Linked DNA regions of Danio rerio. The protein of the gene in region 1 interacts with the protein of each later gene in a pairwise test. Links are inferred from orthologs where the notes say so. Each region holds a gene or a part of one and is shown on either strand. Other genes may lie near its edges.

The links.
Region 2: the proteins of fip1l1b (region 1) and cpsf4 interact in binary tests that used the Homo sapiens proteins (3 or more experiments, as listed by UniProt). The two-hybrid records come from large-scale screens. The link is inferred for Danio rerio from reciprocal best matches to the Homo sapiens genes FIP1L1 and CPSF4.

What each region holds. Positions count from the first base shown.
Region 1 is NC_133176.1:15,784,779-15,789,929, reverse strand, and holds the end of fip1l1b (pre-mRNA 3'-end-processing factor FIP1), read right to left. Parts: intron 4,817-5,151; coding exon of another isoform or gene 4,814-4,816; coding exon 4,758-4,813; intron 4,602-4,757; coding exon 4,421-4,601; intron 2,069-4,420; coding exon 1,907-2,068; intron 1,644-1,906; coding exon 1,502-1,643; 3' UTR 1,328-1,501; downstream 1-1,327.
Region 2 is NC_133178.1:39,238,813-39,244,707, forward strand, and holds the end of cpsf4 (cleavage and polyadenylation specificity factor subunit 4), read left to right. Parts: intron 1-221; coding exon 222-315; intron 316-418; coding exon 419-491; intron 492-3,206; coding exon of another isoform or gene 3,207-3,209; coding exon 3,210-3,383; intron 3,384-3,473; coding exon 3,474-3,542; 3' UTR 3,543-4,303; downstream 4,304-5,895. UniProt on the Homo sapiens protein: Component of the cleavage and polyadenylation specificity factor (CPSF) complex that play a key role in pre-mRNA 3'-end formation, recognizing the AAUAAA signal sequence and interacting with poly(A) polymerase and other factors to bring about cleavage and poly(A) addition.

The DNA.
Region 1 (5,151 bases):
ATATTAGTACAGGCTTCTTGGCATTGGTTGGGGCCCCCTAATTCGCTTGGGGCCCAAAACGTCTGCTTACCTCGCTTAATGGTTAAGTCAACCGCTGCTCATTAATAAAGTTTATACTAGAGTACAGTAGATATAAATAGTATGCTTTTGTATTTCAGTGTAATTCATTAAAGAGCTATGTAAATATTGCCCTTTTATCCATAATTGCAAATGTATTGTTTAGTACTTAATGTGTTGTAGTTTACTTGTTAGGTAGCAAACTTAATAAATAATACACATTGTATTTCATACGCTATTATACACCACCGTTCAAATGTTTGGCCTTATTTATTATTTTTAATATAAAATATTTTCCACCAGTAATTTTTTTGCACTAAAAATAATGGATTAAATAGATAAAAAAAGGCAAATAATTCCTTTTAAAAATGTTCTTTTAACTATTCTATTCATCAATAAATCATTAATAATAATAAAAATATTGACCAGTGTTCAACTTGATAATAAGAACAGCTTTTAAGCACAGAATAATAGGTATTATATTTCTGTAGAATCACATAACACACTGAAGGCTGGGGTAATGTCTGCTTGACCCAAAAATAACCCAAAAGTTATTTCAAAGAACACCTAATTTACCTCTTTCACAAGCTGTAAAATAAGCCTTTGATGTTTCCACAATGTGTCTGTAAAGTGTCAGCTCAAAATACCCATCAGATTATTTATTATAGCCCCAGAATCTGCCCATTTTGATGTCTGAATACAGTGTAGCTGTTTTTGTAGCCTGTGGCTTTAAATGTAAATGAGCTGCTTCTCCCTGCCCCGCCCAGTTCTCATCATGCATTACGTCAGATAAACAGACTCAGATAAAGCTGAAATACAGCTCATTAGTCAAAAATACCAAGCAAATTTGATGTGTTTGTGGAGTTTATTCAAGCCTTTCTGACATGATGAGTCTCACATCATCGCTGATTGCAGTACACACACATATTAGTGTCTACTAACCTTATTATTAGTTTAATAACCATTTTAAACTTGCAAAAAATCAAAGGGAGTTGTACAAAATTTTAATTCCAGTTTATTTGCTAAACAAATGTTCGGTGGACATGTGGTCCACATCAGGAAATTTGATCACTCCAATATGACTGTGGACACACTATAATTACACAGTTCTGTCCAAACAGCTCACAATAGCTGATTTTCATCATATGTGCCTTTTAAATCCTAAAAGAATTCCATAACACTGTTTAATTCTATTATATGCAGCCTTGGTAGGGTCTGATAACAACTGTGAACGTTTTTAATAACAATAATAAACACACAAGACCCAACAAACATTACCAAATGCTCTTTTTTTAATCCAACAAATCAACATCTACATGTTACAACTGCACTGGGAAAAACCAACAGAACAAAAAAAAGGGCAACGTGAAAACGAACAGAAGGTAAACTGGATTACAGCTTCGTTTATCATGATTTGGTTGCGGTGACAGAAGGCGAGCAGGAGTTACTCCATGGCCTCCTGGTTCTCCTGGTCAGCGGATCGCTCCTCGCTGGGCTCTTTGCCCTCTTTGCTCCTCTTGGACTTCTTGTGTTTGTGGCGCCGGTGACTGTCTCCCTCCTCGCTCTCATGTCTCCGTCTGCTACTGCTGTGACAGAACAGGAGAAGATCACAGAGGAGAAAAGATCTTAAAGGGGATACATGGTAGATTTACTTGTGCATTAATAAGTCATTTGGGCCTTGCCCAGTTTTTTAGGCTGTTTAAGTGTATATAAAGAAACTCAAACCACTTGTAGACGAGTAAATGGAAAAACAATTGATTAACCAAATCATAAAAACACAGATTTTGGGTCATTTGTGTTAGGTTGGTTGAGCTTTAGTGTATCCTGATTTGAGAGCGTGGTACAGTACCTCCGTGATGACTTGTGCCTGCCCTCCTCTTTCTCTCTGTGTCTCCTCTCTCTGTGGCGCTCCTCTTTCTCCCGGCTCGCTCGCTCCCGATGCCTCTCATATCCTCGGTCTCCATAGTCACGGTAAGAGCGGTAGCGCTCTTCATCGCTGCACATGGCCATGCTTTAAAATCAATCACAATGTAAACAACTGCTCCATAAAAACATCCTGAATAGAAGAACGTTGAGTCACTGATCAGTCATGTATAGTAAGATGACAACTTAAATCTCTTAAGCGAGACACTGTAGGCAAAAACAATCCACGCATCTGTCAGTGTTTAAGATTTAGGCCTTTTTGTCAATTGATTTTCAGGCTAAATGACAATTAAACATTTTTCTAAAACTGAGAATTGCCATAAAGAGATTCTCAAAAAAGTTGCCAAATAAAATTATCAGACTTCCAATGCTTTAGGTGCTAGAAGTGCATGGAAATGAACACATATTTCATGAAATAATAATTCATTTGTATTTAAACATTCATCCATTCATTTTCTTTTCGGCCCAGTCCCTTTATTAATCTGGGGTCACCACAGCGGAATGAACCGCCAACTTATTCAGCACGTGTTTTACGCAGCAGATGCCCTTCCAGCCGCAACCCAACACTCTTGCACACACACATACACTACGGCCAATTTAGCTTATTCAATTTACCTGTACTGCATGTCTTTGGACTGTAGGGGAAACCAGAGGAAACCCACAAGAACACGGGAAGAACATGCACTGTTTAAACATGCACCTATAAAATAATCTGTGTTCCATGCATCTGTCAATGTTTAATCTTTTGGGCTTTTTATAAATGAAGTCTAATTAAAAATAATAATGATGAAATAATCCATGTTCTATATTTCTAAGCAAATTCAAATGAGCTTTATTGGTATGACTTGCACAGTATTGCTGAAGCAGTTATATAATACATAGAACAAGTCAAGAATATATCAGTAATAGGTACATGCACATTATATACATAGTAAATAAATACAAGTAAATAAAAATTCTAACAACAAGAGATAAATAATAATAAAATAAAAACAAATCAATAAAAATGTTAAGATAATGGTAATAATTATCAGGATATAAACAGGAAATGCTCTTGCTATAGGTTTGTCCATTGGCTGAGAGATTGAGGCAGGCTGACACATATTTGGCTGCTGTTGGGATCATTGTTGAATTTTCACCTAAAATATATGGTCATTTTCCTGAATTTGATAATGCCATAAAATTTGGATAAATTAGCTTGAATCTTTAAAAAAAATATAGAACTCTAATGTGGCGATGGTGATCACAGTGAAGTAGAAAATGTCCTACTGTTTCCAGCTCTCTCTCTGTGAACATAATCCTGGGGTCTCCATCTCTGTTGGTGTCTATTTTTAATCTATAAAAATGCTAAAATCTATAATCTAAATTGTCAAGTTTTTTTTATATTTATACACGTAACTTGGTGAATTATAAACACCATTTTGCAGTATAAAAATTGTGAATTTTCTTATTTTTCTTCTGGCTGTTTGCACTGTTTTCTCAATAATGTAGCAATAGAGATTTCCAAAATCCACTCTATAAAATTAAATGACTAATATAAAAAAAAATCATTAAATTTAATCTGACTTAGAATGCTTTATGTGCTAGACCTGCATTAGCAGATATTTAATGAAATATTGGCTGATTTTGATATTTAAACACACCCCTTTAAAACATATCAAATCACAGTTTCCCATGCATCTGTCAATGTATAAGATTCTGGGCTTTCAGAGTCAGTCTAATGTTAAAAAAATGATTATATAATCCCTATTCTCTCCGGCGCCAGTGGTGTAGTGGTTAGTGCATCCACCCATGCACTCCGGTGCTCACAGCGACCCCAGTTCCATTCCCGCCTTGCGGTCCTATGCCAATCCTTCCCTCTCTCTGCTCCCCATGCTTTCTTGTCAATACTCTCTACTGTCCTATACAATAAAGGTGAAAACCCCTGAAAAAATAATTACAATCCCTATTTTCTGTTAATCAATTAAAAAGATCTAATCTATAATATTAATCTCTAAAACATAACTTTATGAAACATACAAAACATAAGTTTAAACATAACTTGCTTGATAATGTACACCATTTTATTGTACAAGCAATGTTGAAAGTGATTTTTTTTCTGGCTGTTTGCTCTATTTTCTGAATAATGAAGCAATAAAGAGATTTTTAAAATCCACTATTGAAATGAACTGACTAATATGAAAGAAAAAAATAATAATTAAACCTGACTTCCAATGCTTTATGTGCTAGAACTGCATGCAAATTAGAACATAATTAATGAAATAATGGCTCATTTCCATATTTAACATACCCCTTTTTAAACTAAATGTTTGCAGTTCTACATAATGTAATCAATCAACAGGCAAATATTAGTTAATTGTTTTACCTTATTCACCTACAGTGTCTTGCTTTTAATATCCAATACTATGCAAAAATCACATTCATTAGCATCATCTTTCACCTGTTATAAGGCCCTGCGTTGGGGCTGTGGTCTCTCTCGTGGCCGCGGTCTCTCTGTCTCTCTCTTTCTCGCTCTTTTTCCCTCTCTTTGTCTCGTCGGGGGTAATAATCCCACTGTTTGGGATTCTCCATCAGACCAGGCCAGGGGTTAACAGCTCCCTGCATAGGTGGAGGAAAGCCACCTAAAACCAGAACACAGGAGCCCAATGTGCAATCATTCTTAATTGAGGTTAATAAAGGCTGGGACTCATTTAAATACTTGTGACCTGTTCTGAGATCTAAATTAAATGAAGTTTTTAGGTGAATACAATCGTCTGGGGAGAGTTTCGCACACTTACCTGTAGGAAACGGGTATGGAGCGACGGGGCGTCCATCATATCCTCCTGGGTGCCCACTGCTAAATACAGCACATCAATTAATGAGGTGTCGAGTTTTTGAAATATTTAATGTTGACATTCATTTTGCATGACTAATCTTTAAATGATGGAATATTGCAAACTGACAATAATTCAGCTTAAAGGTTCAAATAAGAACTATATACATAAAAAACTACAATCAATCAAATAACTTATTTTTTCCTATATAGATTACAATGAACATTTAATCTTAATTTAATCTTAATTTTTATTAGTTGTCTATTCAAAATGTAAGAAGAAATATAATATCTATCCAGAATATCTTTTATAGAAAATGATGTCTTAAAAACTGAATGCAAGTTGATATACATGCTTG
Region 2 (5,895 bases), on another chromosome or scaffold:
TAACACAGAGCCTTGAGGAACTATTTCAGAAAGCTGATTTTGATTACATCAACATATATTACACACAGTTTTGTTAGATCAAGCTAGGATCTCATAGTTTAATGAATGTTTAAATTAATATTTAAAAGAAAGTTACATTACATAAACATACCTAGTATTGAATGAAAGATTATTTCAAAATTGGTAACACAATAAGATCATTTTACCTCATCTTCCTTTAGGTCCGGATTGCAGGCACAGACACACTAGAAGAGTCATTTGTGTAAATTACCTGGTTGGCTTTTGTCCAGAGGGCAAGTCATGCAAATTTATGCAGTGAGTAACCGTGATTGTATTTTATGCATATTCATATATGTAATTTTATTAAACAGTTTTGTATCAATTATAATCATTTGAATTTTCATTTTGCATTTTCTAGCCCAAGATTTGAACTTCCGATGGGTGCGACTGAACAGCCACCACTGCCACAACAAGTACAGACTCAGCAAAAGGTTTTTAATCTTTTTTTTTTTTCCACAAAATGTTTTAGTTGCCATGAAATATAGATTATAATCATCTTTTCTTCTTTACTGTGATATAAACATGCCTTCTGAATTGGTCTCTCAAATGAGAAGAAGGTTTTTGGGTGGGACTTGATTCAGTTTTTTAGGATTGTATTGATTGTTATTGTCCTTCTTCAGAAGCCATCAAATAAGAAATGGGAGGGCCCTTTTGAAAATAGACTCATTTTTCAATCCTCCTAGCATTAAACAGTTCAATTGTACCATTTAGCTTAGCTTAGCATAGATCATTGAATCGGATTAGACCATTAGCTTCTCACTCCCACATGGTCTAAATTTTGATATTATGGTATGTAAAATCTTTGTGCCATGCTATGACAGCTCGACAACAAGTTCCTTGATTATTACACCAGAATGAGAGTATAGTCCCTAGCCATACTATCCAAGATAGTAGCAACTTTTCATTTTCTGTTGGTCTTAGTACACAATGTAACTATGAATTTTTTTTATGAGCAAGATGGTAATGGTCTATTCCAATTCAATGATTTTTGCTAAACTAAGCTAAAAGTAGAGATGGCTTATGTGAAACTAACGTTTCAAGACAGTGTCGAGATTCCAAAGCGCAAGTGTTTCAAACACTGCACCGAAGCATGATCCGAAACACCCTGGTCACGTGACTAAAGTGTTTAGAAAAACCTGGTCACGTGACTAAAGCGATTCAAAGCATCGATCATGTCAGAAGCGTTTCGAGACCTGACGAATCTGCATTTGACTGACAGGGTCTGAAAAAATTCTGTCTCCAATAGCCTAGTGGACTGTGCGTGTGCATGTTGTCACTGTGCTTCAAATGGCTTTTGGGTTCGAATCCCGACTTGAACAAATACTCCGAAATTCAGATTTTACATATTTTAATAATGTTACTGTTTTATGGTGTAGTCTAGATAGGATACAGCTGCGGAAATGGCATCACTTCAACATAATTTTTGTAAGAATAATTAATACTTTATAAGAATAATTAATATTTTTACTTTATAAGAATAATTAATATTTGTACAGTACTGTGATGGTTGGGTTTAGGAATTGGGTAGTCGTTAATAAAATACAATAAATGGGAAACTTAATGAATACTATAAATAATCCTTTTTAACTTCTGGCCACAACCATGTCTGATCTAGCAACAACCCTGTTTTATGACCAAAACAAGACATATTTATTCACAAAGTGTTTATTCGGATATCAAACCAATGTTGAAACAAAACGATACAAGAACAAAGCATTTCAAACTGATATTAAGCATTTCAAAATAGCTGTATCAGCTGGGATTCAAACCCACTATCCCTGCATGCTAATCAGAAACTCTCTCCGCTCCACTAAATTACTTGAAGGTTCAAGCTTCAATTCTACAAAGTGGGGTTTAATACCTCAATATGCTCAACTGTTCTTTGCTGAAGTACAATACAAGCAATACAAAAAAAATACTACTAGGTGTCACTGTAGAGTGGGGTTTTGAAACATTTCGAAGCTTCGACTGTTTCAGTGTTTCATGAAGCCTTGCTTTGCCCACCACTAGCTAAAAGTGCTCCTACCAGACTCCTAGAACGGCTGAATGGATTCAAACTGTTCAACTCTGGGCGACTTGTAAAATGAGCCTTTTTACAAAAAAAAGTGGAGCATCGCTTTAAAGATAATAAACAATCATGAACTTAAAATAATTATTTATATATATATATTATGTTTATAAATAGGCCCACACAGAATCTGCGCACACAGAATTCCGCAGATTTTTAGCCCATCATTGGTTCTGTTTAATTACTTGTGTAAATGTGTGTAAATTCATATTTATTCAGTTTTTAAATTAATTACAATTTTATTGACTAATCTGAAAATATTTATATGACTTATTTACAAAACAGTTTGTGAAGTAACATTTTCTGTTTTTTAGTAGATATATGATAGACTTGTTATGTTTACTAAATAAAGTGAATCTAACTGGATCTGCATTGTAAACATTAAATACAAGTTAAAAATGTATTACTTTTTATTGCATGTATTAAGGTTTTATTTAAGATAATCCCAAAATAATTTGGCATAAATCCGCAGATTTTTACCAAAGTAGGGTATATGCCGAGCTAGTGTTCTTGCCATGCTGATAAACTTCCGGTGAGCTGTTTTTTTCTGTTTTATTTTTTCCTTTCATAGCATCAATGTTGTTATATAATCAAAATACAATCAGTTAAACAGACTTTGGTATTCATTTAGATGCTCAAGTGTAAAACGAGACAAAAAGCCGTTTGCCCGCACGCGCCCGTCAGAATCGGCAGGTTAGCGCAGAAGCTCCATTCAATATACTGGGGTAAAATAAATGCTCATTTTATAAAGACATGGCGGGGGGAAATGTAATTTAATGCGGTGCTTCTTGTACAATCTGAGACCCATTTTATATCGGATATCACTCAGCCAGTGGAGATAGCTGATTTTTAAAGAAAACAGACCTTAAATGCGCCGGTTTTCCATTGACATAAAGTTCACCGGAAGAGTTGAACCCAGGTTACTGGCAAATTAAAAGTCCTGTTAGCATGCTTCAGCATATACCCTATTCTGCGCAGAAATAGCAAAAGTGTCCGCAGATTCCGTCTGGCCCTACTTATAAATAATAATTCATTATTATATATTACAAAAACCTATCATGTTAATTTGATTCTCCAGCAGCAAAACATGCAGCCCATGAACAGGTCATCACAGTCACTCATCCAGTTAACCAACCCCAACATCAGCAACAACAACCACCAGAGAATTCCAAACGCTGTAGGGATAGTGCACTCTAACAGCCACATGGGTGGAGCTCGTGGCCCTCGCCCGCTGGACCAAGTTACATGTTACAAGGTAAAGGCTCTGTTTGATTTCATGCATAAAATACACACCCTCTCCCTCAAAATTGTGCGACCACATTCAACGTCTGCTCGTTTCTTGCAGTGTGGTGAAAAGGGCCATTACGCAAACAAATGCACAAAAGGACACCTGGCGTTTTTGAGTGGACAGTGAAGCTTTCTGTAAAAAGGATCTCCAATAAATGTGGTCATCACGTGAGGTATTCGATTCCTGGTACATTACCCTCTCACTGAGAAGGGTGTAGTTGAGTGACATAAATGTGGCTCTACCTCACCACCATCACGTATGCCAAGCGCATCACAGTCACATAACACTTTCAACAGGTAGAACACATCAGTAAAAGATTTTTATATTGAGTTTTGTTTTTCTTTCACATGAAACCTTACATACCCGATTTCATGCTTTGAAACGTGAATCTCTGCTATTTTATTTAGAGCTGGAAGATTTTTTGAATGCTTAAAGGGATAGTTCACCCAAAAATGACAATAACCTGCATGTTTTTTTGTTTATTTCAAATGTTGAACACAAAAGGAGATATTTTAAAGAATTTTGGTTGCTGTCACCCATTTCCTTCCATAGTAGGGAAAAAATTACTATGGAAGAGGATGTCAACAACTAACATTTCTCAAAATATCTTATTTTGTGTTTAACAGAAGAAAGAAATTGAAATAGATTTTGAACAAGGGAAAGTAAATGATGGCAGAATGTTCTTCTTTGGTGAACTATCCCTTTACATTTTAAAGTGATAAAGCAAAATATATGAAAGTCTTTTGGGGAACTTTTGGCAATAGCAGCCAGTGTGATCTGAAATTGAAGAGCACCGTTTTGCAGCATCAAAATGGCTTGTTTATATAAATTACATTTAAAACAGATGTTTGGGTTGTACTTACAATAAAGATTATCTGGATTTATGAGACCATGGTCTTGTTTTTATCTATATTCAATAGTATGAAAATTTGCTAGATGGTCACTTCTTCAGATGTTGGTGCTTCACAAATGTAAGACCATTTCATCACCTAAAACATAGTGTTCATAGGGTTCAAGAGTCATGGAATTTTGACATGGCATTTTTAGGCCTGGAAAAGTTTTGGAAAAATTGAAAAACCAACAAAGTTTTGGAAAAGTCATGGAAATTAGTTTAACAACTGTCTGTAAACTTAAATATGGGTTAGTTGTCTTTACTTCTTTTACATCCATGGTCAAACGCATGCTCTCACGTTGTTAGTGCTGTGTGAACATTATCTAAATACATTTTACAAAGATGTAAAGATTCATTTAAACTAAATAGATTGTTGCATGTTTTGTGGTATGCTGTAAAAACTTTAAACATGGATCTTTTTTTCTATTATTTACCACATATACGTAGACATTACATGAAACATTAGGTCATGACAATTTGCTTGAAAGTACTGGAAAAGTCATTGAATTTTAGTAGTAAAATGTGTATGAACCCTGTCAAAGCCTTTTTGCAACATATTGAATTGTGTTTTAAAATCTGTGTATATTTACATGACAATGATGAACTTTATACTAGTTTTTCTTTGGGATATTTGCAATGTTAAAAGTAATCTAGTAATTGTCTGGTAATCTAGTAAAACTATATATATATTTAAATGCAAAAACCTCTAAAAGCCATTTCATATTTTCTTCTAAAATTAGCATCTCTCTTCGACTCCTGTGTGTAGGCTCAGTAATTTCTCTTTTACAGTGACAAATAAGTTCTTTATATTGCCTTTAAAGTGAAATAACTGAAGATAAACGGATGGCATTGAGGTTTTCGCATCTGAACTCTTCATTTATAACTCCACCTTTCTTGTTTCAGCCGTCTAGTACGTAATACACATTTGCACAATGTGATAATATAGCACTTTTGCAACATACATAAAGACAATAGTGTATCAGTTTTGCCCTTATGCAGTGTTTGAATGGAGTTTTATATAAAAATATTAAACATAACTATTTGAAATCAGTTCAAACTTAGCATTTTAAGGCCCTAAAACAGAGGTGGCCAACCGTTCCTGGAAAGCCATCTTCCTGCAGATTTCAGTTGCATCCCATATCAAGCACACCTGCCTGTAATTATCACGTGGTGTTCAGGTCCTTATTAATTGGTTCAGGTGTGTTTGATATGGGTAGCAACTGAAATCTGCAGGAAGGTGGCTCTCCAGGAACAGGGTTGGCCACCCCTGCCCTAAAACATTGTGCAAATATACCACAGGTGTCAAACTCAGTTCCAAAAGGGCCGCAGCTCTGCACAGTTTAGTTCCAACCCTAATTAAACACACCTGATCAAACTAATTGAGTCCTTCAGGCTTGTTTGAAACCTACAGGTAAGTGTGTTGGAGCAGGATTGGAACTAAACTGTGCAGGGCTTCGACCCTCCAGGAATTGAGTTTGACACCCCTGAAATATCCCCTCAAAGAAATCATACTAAACACTTGAGTAAAATCTTAAATACAACCAATTTAATTTAAGACATTCATCTCGAGTAGTCAAACTCCAGTAC